Linked DNA regions of Saccharomyces cerevisiae S288C. Changing the gene in region 1 together with any one later gene gives a genetic interaction. Each region holds a gene or a part of one and is shown in the gene's direction. Other genes may lie near its edges. The genes, in order: GON7 and RTK1.

Region 1 (3,197 bases):
GGAGAGACAGGAGCATTTCCTGAAACATGTTCCCTTACATGATCTGGACGGCACGATGCCAGACTTGAGCTCTGAATCAGGCCAGATGGTGATTGATAAGATTCGCCATTTCAACACTCTATTACTGGCGCTATACTATAATGTTTATGGGCCTACCTGGTATTATAAGATGATTTCTCAAGGCACTGCCGGTGAAGGTGACAAAGACACTTTCGTCGCTGCTGCCCATGCCTTGAATATGCCATACTATCAAGTGAGGACTAACTTTGAATTTGATGGTTTCTTCTATCAAAAAGATGATTACAAGGGTCTCGCCTTGCTCCAGCATGATTTTGAACAAGATTACAAGCAATACCAAAAGGCGCAGCAGAAAGTTAAAGCCAACATTGAGGAATTTTCCAAACTGGATCCAGATTATACTTTGGACAATGGTTTCTTGAAAACTTTGATGGTTAATGATGACGGTTCTGATTTGGATATCATGTTCATTCATGCCAGTTTCTACAAGGCAGATCCATGGACTCTTTATCATGAAAACAGATTTATCGGTCCAAATGGCGAACAAGTACGGGGCTTCAGGAAGCCGCATCGCTATGGAATGGATTTTGAATTGTTTTTATTCAATGATATGAGGGGGTCCTTCTGTACCACTCCGAAAAGCCAAGTTATTAAATTCAAGTATTTTACCGATAAAGTTAATACCCCAGAATGGGATGCAATGTGTGAGTATTTGACCAATCATGTTAATTATCTGGAGAGCACACACAAAGAAGCTATGGGGGAGAAAAACTAATGAAGTGATTAACTATAATAATTTAATAATAACTCGCCATCCGACCTTGTATAATATAATGTAGCATATATGTGCACGGATATATATACATCTTAGAAAAAAATGAAAAAATGAAACCAAGAAAAAACTAACTGATGGTGTTCGGACAACGTTTTAGAATGAGGGTATCTAACTTTCTTCTACCATTCTCTGTCCAAAAACCTAGAAAGTAAAGTCCAGCCAAACCAAGATGTGTTTTCCAACGACGAAGACGCTGCGCTTGGTGAACGGTTTAATGTTTCTCCAGTGCTCTCATCTGTAAATCGTGACCGCGATGACGAATCTATATCTACGTCTGACAACCTGTCGAATTCAAGAGGCATCGAGTAGTAATTGAAAATAAAGTCACGCTGGGGGAAAAAAGATGGTATATCGTCAAATATTCTTTCATGATGGTATGTCAATAATTGCCGGCGAGTTTTCTCGCGGTAGCATGTTCTTAGAATTGGATACAAGTCTCTTGATAGTTTCTGCACAGCAATTCTTTGGGCATTTGTAAGTTTCTTTAATTTCGCAGAGGTATAAAGTTCTCTTTCCTTAAAGGAATAAACGGGAAATCCATGATTGACACCGTCGCTTGATTGAGGGACATTTTGATGCAGCTCATTAAATAAATGGCTGCCCAAACACCACTCATCGATCCGGTCAGAGTTACTAGACGATCGAATGTTACGAAGAGCGGGCGCCGGCTGCTCTGAGGGCGGAGAATTTTTATTGCTGTCACTGGATATCGACAGTATAGCAATTTCGTCAGAAGGAACTTCGAAGGCACTACTTGCAGATTCCAGTGTCTCATCGCGACTAATGGCAGTATTTGTACATTCTGGAGATAAATCTGGGTTATTGATAACCCTTACATCATTGAATGACTTTAATCTATGGAAGTCTAGCTCAAATTCCTCTTCTGAGAGTTCCAGGACTTCAAATAGCGATTCTTCATCGTGAATGCCGTTATTAATTCTGGGTTGAATGCGAGCAGACCTTGACCCGCAATCAACCTGGTAATTGTTCACAGATGCCATTAATGAGCTGTACTGACCACCAAATTTTAGTATTTTAAGCCCTGAATACAACCTTTGCTCCTTGTCGACATTCGTAAGTATATAGAAATCTATCCCTTCAAAAGATTTGTATTATTCGGGATTACGCTACAGCCGCACGTAGATCGTACGTGTATAACGATGTTTATCTTGGTGAAAGTATCTTAACGCGAATGCTCTAGTGATGGCACAATAGAATAGTGTCTTAGCACCACAGAGCGTGATTTTTTAAAGCTCTATATTAGCAACTACGATAGGTGTTTATTTAGTTTCTTTGTTGATCTTCCTGTTTCCAGTGTTACGGCCTTGTCAGGTCAAAAATTTTACCCGGATCTCTAGTAATGAGTAACTTAAGAATATCCCATCTGATTATTGGTAGTTTTACTGAACCAAGTTAGAGCTAAATAAATATATACAGCCGATAGTGCACTGGAACCTTATCCTAATATCTCAATGAAACTACCGGTAGCACAGTACAGTGCACCAGATGGTGTGGAAAAAAGTTTTGCACCAATACGCGATGACCCTCGATACATGACCACAGAGGGAAGGACAACTGGGCCCAGTGACCATGTGCTAAACGCTGGCCAAATCGATAGAGACAAACCTTCAGAACCGGAACGCACGAAAGATGGCTCACAACTGACATACTTAGGCCAGCTGCGCACGCAGCTGACGGGGCTACAGGACGATATTAACGAGTTTTTGACAGGAAGAATGGAATTGGCAAAAAATAAGAAGAAAGCCGGCGCAGACGAGAAGCGGATCCAGGAAGAGATTAACCAGCTATTAGATGGTGGTGACGGTGACGAAGATGCTGTTTAGGCAACGATATGTAGCGCTAGAGAGTGTATATACAAACAGAAAAGAGTCTAATGATAAATGACAAATATTTCGTTACAAGTGATAATTGTTGAACTAGGAAGAGTTGATATAAAAAAATAATAAACACACGATGGGATACAGTTAAGAAGGATTGATCGACTCCTAAATGATGCGAAGAAAGCCAATTTTCAACTTGGAATCATCCTGCCGGTTTGTTGTTGGTGTTAGCTGTGTTAGGACTCGTTAAAATGGCAATCAAACCAAGAACGAAGGGCAAAACGTACTCCTCAAGATCGGTGGGTTCGCAGTGGTTCAACAGGCTTGGTTTCAAGCAGAACAAGTACGGAACTTGTAAATTTTTGTCGATAATAACGGCCTTTGTTTTTATCCTCTATTTCTTCTCCAATCGCTTCTATCCAATTTCTCGTTCCGCCGGTGCATCATATTCTCCATCCCATGGGCTGTATATTAACGAAATTCCTGCCTCCAGCCGGTTGATT
Region 2 (4,514 bases), on another chromosome or scaffold:
GGCGATGGCTTTAATATATCACTTCAAACACTTAGCGAAAATTCCTCGTCAGGAGCAAACACATTAGCTGCCAAAAGTTCGTGCCCCAATTGGAATTCGAATGCCAACAATGATATATTAATGTCATATTCGAGGGACTACTTAGAAAATATTTCCGATCGTCTTAATGACGAAAATAAAGGGCTGAACTTGAGCAGGAAAGATGCAGCGGCCTTGTTTTCTTGGTGTGCCTTCGAGTTGAACGCAAAAGGTTATAGTAACATTTGTGACATTTTCTCCGCGGCAGAGTTAATACATTATTCTTATGAGACTGATTTGACGAGCTTCTACCAAAATGGTCCCGGATACAAATTGATTAAATCTATAGGTGCTAATTTGTTCAATGCAACAGTGAAGCTAATACGACAAAGTGCGCACTTGGACCAAAAAGTTTGGCTGAGCTTTACGCACGATACTGATATTCTAAATTATTTGACAACTGCTGGATTGATTGATGACACTAGAAATTTAACAACCAATCATGTTCCCTTTCGTGATCATTCCTACCACAGGTCGTGGTACATTCCTCAGGGAGCTAGAGTCTACACAGAAAAGTTTCAATGCTCAAACGATTCGTACGTCCGTTATGTGGTCAACGATGCTGTGGTTCCTATAGAGAGTTGCTCCAGTGGTCCAGGTTTTTCATGTGAAGAGGGCACATTTTACGAGTATGCCAAAGACAGATTACGAGGTGTGAGCTTCTATGAAGATTGCGACGTCTCCAAAGTTAGCAAAGAAAAGGAATTGACGTTTTACTGGGATTGGAACACAACAAGGTATAACGCATCCTTAGTGAATCAATAAGCCATGCATGGGCAGAAATAAAAAAAAATAGGAAATTGTCTTTACATAACATGGTCACAAAGTAATATTCCGCATCGTTCTTCCTTCAGCAAACCGAAGGGGAGCGAATTGAGCCTTCAAGCTACATCTAAAAGAGATTCCACTAACAAGTTCTGCGGTTATTACATATTTTTGTACTACAGAGAATTTAATTGCACCCGCTTTATCACCCTCGTTATTTATATTCTTTTCTGGAATATTTAGATATGCGTCATTTGATTATTGTTGTTTTTTTTTTTTGTTTTTTTACTTTCATTACATCGCTAAATATAATATAAAAGAGATGAACGGCTATTCTTTCTGAATATCGAAAGTTAAAACTCGGATAGAAAATTCACAAGAACATAAAAGAAAACTTCCGGATTTCAAAGGCGGTTCTGGTATTGGGAAACTTCCACAACATATCTCAAATTCAAACTGAAAAGTCCTCAGTGTCTTTTATTCGAAACTCCGGGAAAGCACTGCTTGAATGGATTAAGTAAACTTGAAATAAATTTTTTACTTCTACAGCTAAAATGTGAAATATAGTGTCCGCTTCCACCAAAGGCGTTTATTTTCTCGAAATGAACCTGTGAATAACACAGCTGGCTCCAACTCAAACACTCAACTGCGTCATTTCTTATTCGCTTTCCAAATCATGCATGATTTTTCTTTCTCTTGCCTGCAGTGCTCGTTTCACCGCTCGCGTACTCGTCCATTCTTTGTCAGCGAAGAGGCTCTAACAGTGGAGAGCACATCTGGCAAGTAAAATGATAGGTTGCGCAAGGGGGTAGGGGAATGACTAATAAAGCATTACTACCATCATACCAAGTTCCCATTCATGTACACATAGTCTCTTTAATTGCCTTCTTGAATGGAGGCCAGTAGATATTTGGAGAAGCTTTTCTTGCAGTTCGGGTAATATCGAACGGCGTACATCTATAAGGGGAAAAGCTACTTCCGCTTCTCATATATCTATTTTGCAGTGTGACTCTTCCTGGCTTGCTAAGTATTGTACCTGTTATGGGGCAAGCAAGATTTCTCATTGAAAAAAGATATAATACTTATTTGCAGCCAATAGTGACGGATTCTAGTGTTCTTCTTTTCCATAAGTTGATTACGCTATTCACCCAAACTGACTCTTTAGTGCGCTAATAAGCTGAGAGGATTTGAGAGGGAAAAAAAGAGAGAAGGACAGAAAAGAGCAGCCTGAAATTCATAGCATAATGGTTAAGGAAACTCCATTACACTCATCTTCATCAACTTCGCTGTCTTCATTATTTAGGCCAACTAAGTTGAAGAATTTATCGGCTAAAATATTCAATGGAGGTGGTAACCAATCATACTCAAAGACAGATGATGTTTCAAGGTCTTCTTCTAGATCTTCAAAAAAGAATACAGATTCTGACCAAGAGGATCAAATAAAGTATAACAAACCCAACGACCGAAGATCTACCATAGGAAAGAGCCCCCAGGGAAATGGCGCGTTGTCAAAGGAGTCACACGTAGTAGCAAGTTCTACTTTGACAGGTATTTCTCCTACTTCAGCTAAAAAAGCTCCTATTGACTACTCTCCTTCACGGCCCTTACCTAACAATCATAATCCCGTTCGTACGGGACACACTGTGCCCCACTTACCCCATAGTATTCACAATCCAATAAACTACATTCATCAAGGCTCAAAAGATGCTTTCCACCATCCTCACCCCGTTCGCTCTACAGCTCATAGCAACATTTCTACAGTGTCTTCTGCAAAATCTGATACACCCTCTTCGAATTTATCATACCAGGCACATATGCATCCCGTAGAGATACTACAGAAACAGATTGAAGACAAACACTTCATGGACTCTCAAGCCTCCACCCCTGGGTCCGTGGAACTACAGCATAATTCTTCAAGCGGTAGTGATGATACCTCATCAAGAAAGAAAAAATCCTTGAGATTAACAAGATTTTTCAAAAAAATTCATAATGATTATCACGATAACCATCATCATCACCACCATCACAACCGTGGATCCACCCCTACAAAACCGAAGCTCAATTTGAACACCAATGAAAATATAGTAGAAAGTAACGGAAAAGCGTTATACGAAACAGATAACCCAGTGGAGCTATTAGAAAAATATGGTATTCCTGGTAGAAAATTAGGCGAAGGAGCTTCCGGTTCAGTGTCCGTAGTAGAAAGAACAGACGGCAAGTTATTTGCTTGCAAAATGTTCAGAAAACCACACTTAAACAATGAAGGAACTAATCAGTCTCAATTAGCTAATTATTCTAAGAAGGTTACCACTGAATTTTGTATTGGTTCCACGCTGCACCACGAAAATATCGTTGAAACCCTAGATATGTTGACTGAAGGTGACACCTATTTATTAGTAATGGAGTATGCGCCATATGATTTTTTTAATCTCGTCATGAGTAACCTAATGACACAAGATGAAGTCAACTGTTACTTCAAGCAGCTGTGCCACGGCGTTAATTACCTGCACTCTATGGGCTTAGCTCATAGGGATTTAAAATTGGACAATTGTGTCGTCACTAAAGATGGCATCTTGAAACTGATTGACTTTGGGAGCGCTGTAGTGTTCCAATACCCTTACGAAGATACCATTGTAAAATCACATGGAATCGTGGGTTCTGACCCTTATTTGGCTCCTGAGTTATTGAAACAAACATCCTACGATCCAAGAGTAGCAGATGTGTGGTCTATCGCTATTATATTTTACTGTATGGTCCTTAAAAGATTTCCTTGGAAGGCTCCAAAAAAGAGCTTCAACTCATTTAGGTTATTTACTGAGGAACCTGAGGACGAAGATGATATAGTTCGGGGGCCAAATAAAATATTAAGGCTACTGCCAAGACATTCACGGACAATAATAGGCAGAATGTTGGCTTTAGAACCAAAGCAAAGAGTTTTAATGAATGACGTGGTAAAGGATGATTGGCTTGTATCCGTCCCCTCCTGTGAAGTTGACCCTACATCTGGCGATTTGGTTGAAAAACCAAAGAATCATAAGCATCACTTGGTCACTGAGGAGGAGTTGAATGAGCTGACCAAGCAACACGGGAATAAAGATTCAAATTAATGAAATAAACACTTTTTAAAAGATAAAACCTAAAAAATTGTATATAGAAGATTCAAAGTACTATAAAAGGCATTATATAGGAATAAAAGATGGTGTGCATACAGGTGAAAAAGAAAACTAGTTAAATCTGGAAAAAAAAAACGCTCATATATATACAAAAACATAAATACATTCGTCAAAACAAAAAGCGCTTAAATAAATAAAAGCATTTTTTAGATAATCTCAACGGGCGCCAAATTGAAGTCACCCGACGCATAAAATTGTGAACACGCCCTATTAGATTTTACAAAGAGGAAGTCTCCTCCCCTATAAACTGCAAAGAATAATTGAAAAGTGATTTAGCGCAGATAAATAAGACCACCATAACCACATATGAGTAGGAAAAAATGTTCAAAGTTCCAGTGGGATTAGCCAGTAGGACAAGGGAGCTTATGAACAGCGTTACGCTCAATAGTCTCAATAATGGAAAGGGTTTCAATATGTACTTGCCAGGAATATTAAGGGCTTTTCCTAAACCAGTGCCTTCGGCGATTACATCTCCCGCAATTCCAAAATATCGAGGAG

Evidence for each region.
Region 2: mutations in GON7 (region 1) and RTK1 together harm fitness more than expected from each alone (negative genetic interaction), as found in Saccharomyces cerevisiae (one large-scale study listed by BioGRID).

Annotation. Positions count from the first base shown.
Region 1 is NC_001142.9:81,123-84,319, forward strand, and holds GON7 (chromatin DNA-binding EKC/KEOPS complex subunit GON7), read left to right. Parts: upstream 1-2,325; coding exon 2,326-2,697; downstream 2,698-3,197. Other genes in the region: alpha-1,2-mannosyltransferase MNN5, read left to right, coding at 1-793; ATG36 (Atg36p), read right to left, coding at 973-1,854; MNN11 (alpha-1,6-mannosyltransferase), read left to right, coding at 2,946-3,197. UniProt on the Saccharomyces cerevisiae protein: Component of the EKC/KEOPS complex that is required for the formation of a threonylcarbamoyl group on adenosine at position 37 (t(6)A37) in tRNAs that read codons beginning with adenine.
Region 2 is NC_001136.10:404,780-409,293, reverse strand, and holds RTK1 (putative serine/threonine protein kinase RTK1), read left to right. Parts: upstream 1-2,087; coding exon 2,088-3,950; downstream 3,951-4,514. Other genes in the region: putative acid phosphatase DIA3, read left to right, coding at 1-843; MRX9 (Mrx9p), read left to right, coding at 4,337-4,514. UniProt on the Saccharomyces cerevisiae protein: Probable serine/threonine-protein kinase that may be involved in ribosome biogenesis.